2 linked regions of the Oryctolagus cuniculus genome follow. The protein of the gene in region 1 interacts with the protein of each later gene in a biochemical or structural test. Links are inferred from orthologs where the notes say so. Each region holds a gene or a part of one and is shown in the gene's direction. Other genes may lie near its edges.

The links.
Region 2: the proteins of ITCH (region 1) and HNRNPUL1 form a complex in vitro, tested with the Homo sapiens proteins (2 studies listed by BioGRID and IntAct, with this or other methods). The link is inferred for Oryctolagus cuniculus from reciprocal best matches to the Homo sapiens genes ITCH and HNRNPUL1.

Annotation. Positions count from the first base shown.
Region 1 is NC_091442.1:23,708,829-23,713,352, reverse strand, and holds the start of ITCH (E3 ubiquitin-protein ligase Itchy homolog), read left to right. Parts: upstream 1-1,272; 5' UTR 1,273-1,404; exon of another isoform or gene 1,405-1,985; intron 1,986-2,052; exon of another isoform or gene 2,053-2,241; intron 2,242-4,524. UniProt on the Homo sapiens protein: Acts as an Acts as an E3 ubiquitin-protein ligase which accepts ubiquitin from an E2 ubiquitin-conjugating enzyme in the form of a thioester and then directly transfers the ubiquitin to targeted substrates.
Region 2 is NC_091449.1:13,345,163-13,349,838, reverse strand, and holds the start of HNRNPUL1 (heterogeneous nuclear ribonucleoprotein U-like protein 1), read left to right. Parts: upstream 1-1,724; 5' UTR 1,725-2,050; coding exon 2,051-2,345; exon of another isoform or gene 2,346-2,578; intron 2,579-2,603; exon of another isoform or gene 2,604-2,816; intron 2,817-4,676.

The DNA of each region.
Region 1 (4,524 bases):
ATTTTCCAAAAACTTTGTTATGAGAAAAAGCTGCCAAAAATTATATTAAAAATGCAAATTCTCAGGCCCTACCGCAGACCTATGGAATCAGAAGCAGACAGGGCCCCCAGGGATCTGTGGTTTAAACACAGAACCACCTGCAGGTGGTTGAGTCCTGACTGCAAGACTCCCTGCTCTAGAGAATCTGAGTGGGGTAGGTCCTTGGAATCTGTTTTTAACAAGCTGTCCAAAGGGGGTAATGCGGAACCACAGTGGTTTTGAAAGTACTTTGAAAAGTGTGACTTTCCAGATGGTAAAACAGTATTTTCATTAGGAGGAAACAGGCTAAATAATAATAGCAAAGGTCACTAATTACGGAGCGCTTCCTTGTGCCTGAGTCACTACTTGCACGGCCTATTACTTCTCACAAACAACTGTGCAGGACTTGGGCGGAGGGATGGGAAGGCAGACTGCCCAGGTTCTTATCCGGTATGTGACTGTGAGGCCAGGTGACAACGGTCCTTCTCTCATTGATGTGTTGTGAGCAGGAAGGGAGCTGGGTGCTCACTCCTAGAGAACACCAACCACGCGGGCGCCTCACCACGCCCATCATCCCCAAGCCTCCCTGTTAAAGGCTGGAGGAGGAGGATTTGAGTCCACTCAGTGTCTGTTTTTAGGGACTAAGCTGGGGGCCACCTCTGCAGCGCAGTGGGTTAAGCCACTACTTGGGATGCCCACAGACATGCCATATAACAGTGCCTGGGATCCAGTCCCACCTCCGGCTCGCTCCCAATCCAGCTTCCTGCCAAAGCATCCCGGGAGGCAGGGGAGGATGACCCAGGTGCTTGGGTCTCTGCCACCCACGTGGGAGACACAGAGGGATTTCCAGGCTGCTGGCTTCGGCCCGGCCATTTAGGTGTAAACCAGCAGATGGAATCTCTCTGTCTCTCCCTCTCGCTGTCACTCTGCCTTTCAAATAAAAACAAAAAAAGAAATGCAAATGATCAGACTCTGTCCTAAATCTACTGAAATTCTGGGGGCGGGAGCTCAGCAGTGTAAGTTTTAAAAAGCCCCTCAGGCGATTCTATGCACACTGCAGTTTGGCAACTCCAGCTACAGTCTTCAGAGGTTCTGGTGGGCGGGGTGCTAAGAACAAAAAAGGAAAAAGAAAGCGGAGCTGGGAGCCACTGGAGTCCTCACCTGGGCTGGGAAGAACTCCACTTAGCAGCTCTCACCAGCCCCCAGCTCTCCCGGCCCGGCAGCTGGCTGGCGCGCAAGGCCTGCTGGGGCTTGTAGTCCGGGCCGCTCCCGAGTGGAGGCGCCTGCGCATTGGCCGCTAACTCGCTTTAGTCGCTGTGGTCGGGGCTCGGGACCGGCTGCCATCTTAGTCGAGGGACTGAGGAGTCGCCGCCGCCCCGAGTCCCGGTAAACACCCGCGGGCTGACTGGGGGCGGTTCTGGGAGGAGGGGGAAGCCTGGGTGAGAATGACCTGAGAGAACGAGGGGTCGAGGAGTGCGGCGCCCGAGCCAGGACCGCCCCAGCGGCTGCGGCTGCTCCTGCCCTCCTAGCCGGTGTTCGTGGGGGGCGCGGGGAGCACGGGCCAGTGGCCGGGGCCGGGCGAGGGCTCGGATCGGCCAGACACACCGCAGGGCCGGCGCCTGCCGAGTTGCCCCGACCCCCTCGTCTCGTGGGCTCTCAAGTTGTGAGCGGGATGGGCCGCGGCGGACGTGGGCAGGGTCCATCCCCGCGCCCCTCCGCCGCTCCCGGGGGCCACTCTCCCGAGGCCCGGCCTACGCGCGGGGCCGGGCGGCCGCGGGCTACGTGGCCCTGTGAGGGGCGGCGGCCAGGCCCACCTGCCTCTGGTCTGGCCCTCCCGGGACTTTGCCGAGCCTTTGGTCTCCAGGAGGGCCCAGCCCGGCGGCTGCCTCCTCTGGTCTCCTCCACTCCCCTCCTCCCTCCATTGTCCCCCCGCGTGGTGGTCCCGGGCCGGGCGCCCTCCCCGGCGCCCGCCGCCACCGCCGCCGCGGCGCCGACTTGTGCAGACGTGGAGCTGTCACTGCCCTTGGTCCGAAGAGTGCCCTTTTCTTTAGCAGAGAAGAAAGTAGCTGTGAATGTGTTCTAAGGGCCGAAACGTGAGGAAGACGAGACTTTGAAGCGGTGAACTCAAGTTTGGAGACTCCGTTCGGGCCGCGACTTTGGAGAAACGGGATTTGTGCTCCCGAGGTCATCGTCGGGCCTAAAGTTAGTCAGAGAAGTAACGAGGTGAACTTGCGAAGTATCCGAAATTCTCCTTTCCCCCAGAACAACTCAGCGGGTTTTGTGGTTATATTAGTATCCTAGTCTTGTTACATTTTCTGCCGTTCTAACACCGCTGTAGTATACTTGCTTTGGATGGGGGGTGGGGAAGGAAGAGTGGGGTTTTTCTTTGAAAATTATTGAGCCTTTTTTTGGAGCCAGCCTCCTGTGGTCGGACTTAGGTGGATCGCCCTGCATCTGTTCCTAATATAATTCGACTTTAAGGAAATAGGTAAAGGCAGTGTTATTTCCACCGGCAGAATCGGCGAAGGACTTGCTGCTTCTCTGAAAGTTATCATGGCAGATCTGGTGAGAGCCTGCACGGTGTATTGACATGTTTACTCAAGGTGCAATGACTTCATTTTTCGGATTTAAAAATGAAAGTGGAAATTCTGCTTTTTAGAACAGTGGGTATAAGTCCAAAAGGACTTCATCTTCAGCGTGCGGGTCAAGGCAGCAGTGATAATGTGAGAATGAAAAAAAAAAAAAGAGTGCACAGAACTTCACTGTAGTCCAAAGTAAATAATTTCTACAGTCTTTTAAAAAACACATCTTTACACCTATTGCAAGAGAAAGGCAAACCAGCGGTCTCCAAATATGACCATTAGGGTAATGTTTTTTTTAAAAGTAGACATCCAGCTTCTTCCGTCTGAGATTGATTTAATAGATCTGGGTTGGCTTCCGTTTGTTTTCAGAACATGCCTCAGGTGATTCTAATGGGCCTGGGAACTACTGAGGTAAACAGTATTGTGGACATACCAAGGACAGCTCAAGAAACTTTTGAGACTGAGAGACGAGGAAGTGGTTAGTTCTGACTAGGGGTTGGCCAGAGGAGGAATCTAGACCTGCCCTTAGACCTGTGTTGGATCTTAGGTGATGAGCAGTTACATGACAAAGGTGAGGAAGAGGGGTAGAGAGAGGGAACATCTCAACCCTATGTGATGGCTGGAAGAAGGGTTCCGGGAGCGGGCAGAGAGTGGGATAGGGAAGGAGAGCTTTATGAGATGTGAAGAATGAAAGGTAAAAAGAAGCAGCTATGTGAAATGTTCTAAATATAATGCTGGAAATTTTGAATTTTGTTGTCGCTGGAAACATGCTGATTCTTACACAGGGATGAGAGGTGAGCGCCTGCGTTTTAGAAAGATTGCTCTGATACCAGAGAAAGGTTGGAAGAGTGGCTGTTGCAGAAGTCTAGGTGAGAAGTGACAAAGCCTGATGTTGCGGGAGAGACAGCTGGGATGGGTAAGGGATTGGATTCAGCTTTTTACTAGTGTGGTTTGTTCCTGTATTTTTGGATGAGGATTTTGGCAGGGAAGCAAGTCTGTGTAACAGGCTGCTTTTCTCTCAAAGGAACCCATTAGTGAGTCTGAATAGCATTGCCAGGTTATTTACGTTACTAGTATTAGAGTGAATTACTCACAAGCATATAAGAAATTAGAACCATGTCAGGTGCGATTTAGAAGATAACTTGACTGAAATTGACTGTCAACACAGGTGATTCAGGCTTGTTGGAGGTGTTTTTTGACAGTCTACCGAAATTTAATACTCAATTTTTAGAGTTGGAGATATTATGTACTCGATTTTGGCAAATAAATTTTGGTTTATAGGCCAACTTGAATTGAAGTAGCTGTCAGAGGAATTGTGTTTAGAAGGATTCTGGTTGCGTGGATTCTCTGGAAATGTGTTATGTTTAACTAGTGTTGCCTCCAGCTGATGGTTACCTAGTGGGTTACAAGGAGTCTTCATTAAGTTTATGGAAAAGCTATGAATCGATTCAAAATATGTTGCACCAAAATTATCTTTCAATTTTATTTTTCACAGACTGTGTAGTACCCTTCTTTATATGTGCCACGTATTTTTTTTTTAAAGATTTATTTTTTTATTTGAAAGGCAGAGTTAAAGCGAGAGAGATCCTCCATCTGCTGGTTCACTCCCCAAAAGTCTACAATCACCTGAGCTGGGCCAGCCAGGAGCCTCATTCAGGTCTCCTACATGAGTGCTGGGACCCAAGCACTCTGCTGTTGCCTTCCCGGGCACACCAGCAGGGAGCTGGATGGGAAATGTTGTAGGCGGCATGTGGGTACAGGGGCCCAGACACTTGAGCCATCTTCCGCTACCTTCCCAGGCACGTTAGCAGGGAACTGAATAGGAAGTAGAACAGCTGAGACTCAAATCAATGGCCATGTATGACGCTGACATCACAGGCAGCATCTTAACCTGCTGTACCACAGCAGCCATCACAAGGTATTC
Region 2 (4,676 bases), on another chromosome or scaffold:
ACATAAAACTTCGTAATCTTCTTTGTGTCTCCTCTCATCTGCATTCAGCTGCGATGCGGCCCCTCTCCCCAGCCATTCAGTTTCTCTGTCAGTACCAGGAAGGGTGTGGTGGGGTCTACGAAAGTCTCCTCCCTAGAGAGGTCTAAATGAACACTGTACATCGAGGCCAAACACACACAATCAGGCAGACACCCAGCGGGAAGAGGAAGAAACTTGAGCAACAGATCCAAAGTGATAGAAATCCTGAGACACGGAGCAGAACAGGTACCCACAGTCCAGGAAGAGAAACGCGGGCACAGAACCCCTCCGGTAGTCCCGGGTCCACCAGGGGAGTCCGCTCGCTGCCCTGGGCGCGCAGTCCAGGGTGTGTCCGGGAGCGGACCGAGGAGCCCCTGGCAGCGCCCGGACGCCCCCCGGTGGCGGCTCCCGAGAAGCCGGGACGGTTCAATCCGGGCCACAAACTTTTTTAGAACAAATCGTTGTGCAAGGCTGGGAGGAGAGAGGAAGTCGGACGTGGGCGAGGGGCGGGGTGTCTGGACTGGAACCTCCGGGCCCACGTGAGTGTCTGTCCCGCCGCGGAGTGGGTGCTGCGTGTCCGGGTGGCTGCAGTGGCACTGTCCGCTGGGTCGGTGCGGTGTGGGGCCGCCCGGCCGCGCGGAGCTTCGCGGGCACACCTGCGCTGCCGGTGTGCTGCACCTGATCCGACCCGAGCCTGGGGGTGTATCTGCGCGGCGCGCGCCTTTGTCTGCTCCGCTGGAGTGTGGCGGGTGTGGGCCTTGCGTGCCTCGGCTGTGTGTCTGACTCCGGGTTTGTCCGTTTGAGTTAGAGGCGACAGGTGGCGCGGCGTTAGACGCCGGGGAACTCGGGCGTCCGTGTTTATTAGCGGGAGGCCCGATCCGCGTCTCTGAGCCCGTCGGCCAGGTGCCCCGGACAGCCATGCAGAGGGTCGGGGAGGGGACAGCCGCTCAGTGCGGGGCTCTACCCGGAGAGGGGCGGCTCCACGGCCTCCGCGAGGCTGCGGTCGCGGACAGAGGCCCCGCGAGGCGAGCTGGCCAGGGGATGGACACGCGGTTTCCTTGACAACTTTTCTCTCGTCGCTGGCCTAGCCTCTAGTATCAAACCTGCAGGACTCGCCAAAGTTCCGTTTTTCATTAAAAAAGTAATAATAAAACAGCCGAGTTCCAGATTATGAATAATATATCTGTTTAATATCTACTCCATATGCCTCCCTCTACGGCGAAATTTGTGAGGCAAGCCTCTGAAAAACGGCCAATCCTGTTAGCTTTTCCTCAAGCGACCCATCTCTACCGGCCCTCAGTGAGATGAGACAATAAATGCAATTGGTGGACAGATTGTTTTGAAACCGCCCTAACGGCAAGGGGCGGGTCCTTCGTGAATTTTTCTCTTTCCGGTTTCTTAAAGGCAACAGGAAGGAGGGGTTTCTACCGACCCTCGTTTTGATTGGTTCTAGTGACTTTACCCGCTCGTACTCCTCAAGGGGCGGGAGATGTAGACAAATCAGAATGTGTGTTGCAAAGACACTTAGCTCGATGAAAGGACTTCGCAGGAAAGGCGGGGGGGGGGGGGCGCTCATTTTGAGAGCCCAAGGTTGATTGGACTAAATCGTTACTCCCCTTTTCTCATTCGACCTTACAGCAGCGGGCGCGCGGGCGCCATCCAATCAGCTGGCGCTCCGCCTTCTGCCTTTTCCCGCCCTCCGCTTGGGCCGCGTCTTCGACGTAGGCCAACGCTTCCTCCCTGGCTGCTCGTAGGCCCTCTCACTGTCGTTATTTTGAAAACTGTGCTCTAACTGGCTGAGTCTCCGGGCCCGCGCCCGTTGCCCCCGCGCGCTGGCCAATTGACACCCGTGTTGCATCGTACGGCGCACTGGGAGGGGGAGGTGGCGGCGGCGGCGGCCATTTTGAGCCGCCGCCGCCATTGGAGTAGCCCCCCCCCCTTTCCCCCTTCGCCTCCTGACAGGAGAGGTTTAAGGGGGACAGAGCCCTGGGAGGCCGGGCCGGGCTCGGGGGCCGCCCCGGGGGCCCGGGCCATGGATGTACGCCGTCTGAAGGTGAACGAACTTCGCGAGGAGCTGCAGCGCCGCGGCCTGGACACTCGCGGCCTTAAGGCCGAGCTTGCTGACCGGCTGCAGGCTGCGCTGGAGGCCGAGGAGCCCGACGACGAGCGGGAGCTCGAGGCCGACGACGAACCGGGGCGACCTGGGCACAACAACGAGGAGGTCGAGACCGAGGGGGGCTCCGAGCTGGAGGGGACCGCGCAGCCACCGCCGCCCGGGCTGCAGCCGCACCCGGAGCCCGGCGGCTACTCGGGGCCGGACGGACATTGTGAGAGTGCGCGGGGCGGGGGCCGGGGAGCCTGGAGTCTGGGCCAAGATAGGGCTGTGGGACGCGGGAGTCCGGCGCCCGAGGTCGGGGACTTGCTGTGAGGATCGGGGGGTCCTGCGATCGGCCGCCGCGAAGGATCTGGGGACCGGGGCCTCGGGACGGCCGGCGGGTGGATTCTGGCATTCGGCGCGGGGGAGAAGCTGGGGGTGGGCGCTGTCGGTGTCGGAAAAGAGGTGGGTCCAGGGAATGGGGAGGGTTCTGGACCTTAGGGCTCGGAGACCGGAAACCGTGGTTTTTGGAACCGAACGGAGTCGGAAGAAAAAGAGGTTTTCTATTTAGGGGCTTGGGGAGAGGCTTGGAAATGGTGATCCTGGGGTTTGCAGCAGGGTGGGCTGGGCGTTAGGAGCCGCGTTTCCAGCTTCGGGACGGAGAGGCCGGGGTCCTGGCCGGAGCGGCTGATAGGGTCCTGAGGTGGGTTGATGAGATGGAGGCACTGGTGTCTGTGCGGTGGACTGGGTGCTCTGGTGTTGGCCGGAGAGCCGTGAGGGGATGTGGGAGACCAGCTTGTTCCACGGGGGGACCCACCTCTCTTCCAGGCTGGGAGGCCAGCCGAGAGGCAGGCGCACCTTGGGCACTGGGTGCTGGGCGATCCGGGGACCTTGTGGTTGACTGCCAGAGGCGGCACCAGGAGCCTTGGTGTCCTGAAGCTCGTGGGGGCAGGAAAGATGCTTCCCTGGACAAAGGACCCGGGAGCCTGGGACTGGGCAAGCTCTCCGGGCCGGAACTCAGTGGCTGTGCTGAATGGTCCTGGTGAACGGGGCAGCCGGGATAGGACGGGCGCAGAGAGCAAGCTGGTAGTGCTTGAATTTGGTGAAGTAACCGAGGGACAGGGGATCCTTGTGTCCAGCACGGGAGTGTGTAGCTGTCTGGGAAGATGGGGGAGGGGGAGTGAGTGAGTAATGGAAGGAGAAGGCAAGCCTGTTGACTTGGTCCCCGGGGGCCTCGGGGTGTTGTTGGGGGGAGAGGTGGGGCTCAGCATCTCCCGGTGAGGGTTCCTTGGTCCCCAGAAGCAGTTACTTGCGTGCCCAGGGAGTATCTGCATCAGCCAATAGGAGTGAGTGTGGGAGTGGAGGGATTAGGGTAGGCCTGCAGCTGTTTGAGGAGCAGAGACCTGGCATGGCAGAGAGTGAGTCTGGAGTTAGCAGAGGGCGACTTTTTTTCAGCACTGGGACTGCAAAGATGGGAGGAAGAGAGGTTAAGGGGGAAGGACTGTGGTGTCCAGGGCTTCTGGGGGGTCTGTGGAAAGGGCACCCTGGGGCTGGGGGGAGAAGGTGAGAGGAGAAATGGGGCCATGGAGGAGACTTGGGGTTGGCACTGGGTCCTCGTTCACGAGAGATGTGGCAGCCTGCGTGTAAATTTGGAGTGGAGAACAGCCCAGTGACTGTCCAGGACCCAGGTGCTGGCAGCGTGCGTGGCGTGGCAGAGACCTGGGAAGGAAGAAGTGGCCCGGCGAGCTTGTCTGTAGAGTGGGAGCCCCCAGTGGGGCAGAGTTCCGGGAGAGCAGGGTGGTTGGATGCCTCGGCACGCAGCCTCTAGACTGTTTCAGGTTCGGCTCCGTGACTCGGGCAGGGTGCTTCATCTCCGTGCGTCTGGTTTCCTTGTGTGTAAAATGGGGTTACAGGGTTGTTAAGAATGAAGTCACGCGTGAAGGGCCTCTCCCCAGGTCCGCCTGCTGATGAGGAAAGCGGCGTTTAGGGGATGGAGAGGCACCCCAGCATCTTGGCTCCCTGGGCAGGCTGCTCCGGGCCCAGAGGGATGCTTAGAGAGGCTTGAGGCTCTGGGGCACACACTGCCTAGCGCCTGGAGGAAGCAGCTGGGCTGAGAGGACCTCACATCCCAGGGAAGATGACGTTCCCTCTCTTCCTCTCGCCCTGCCCTCTGCACCAGAGTCCTTTGAGTGCCCTCCACACCCCTGCGACCCTCCCTCAGCCTTGGTAAACAGACCTGTAAGGCACCACGTGACCTGAGACTTTTCTCCCTTTGGGCCGCACCAGGTTTGTGCCCAGATGTGTTTGTCCTCTGAGAAAGCATCCAGTCAGTCAACAAGTGGCAGGATAGGCTCTGCTTCCCCGTGGTTCTGCCTCACTGCTGCTGGCACAGCCGTGAGGAGGACTCGGGAGGCACCCAGCAGAGAGCGGCCCCTGGGGCCGAGAGCCGGTGAGCTGCTCGCTGGTGCTCACTCAGTCTCCAAAGCCCTCTCAGGTTTGCCTGCAAGGTTCTGCCCCTTGAGAGAGTGTCTGGGTTAGGGGGAAGGTCTGGTTTCAGTCCCAC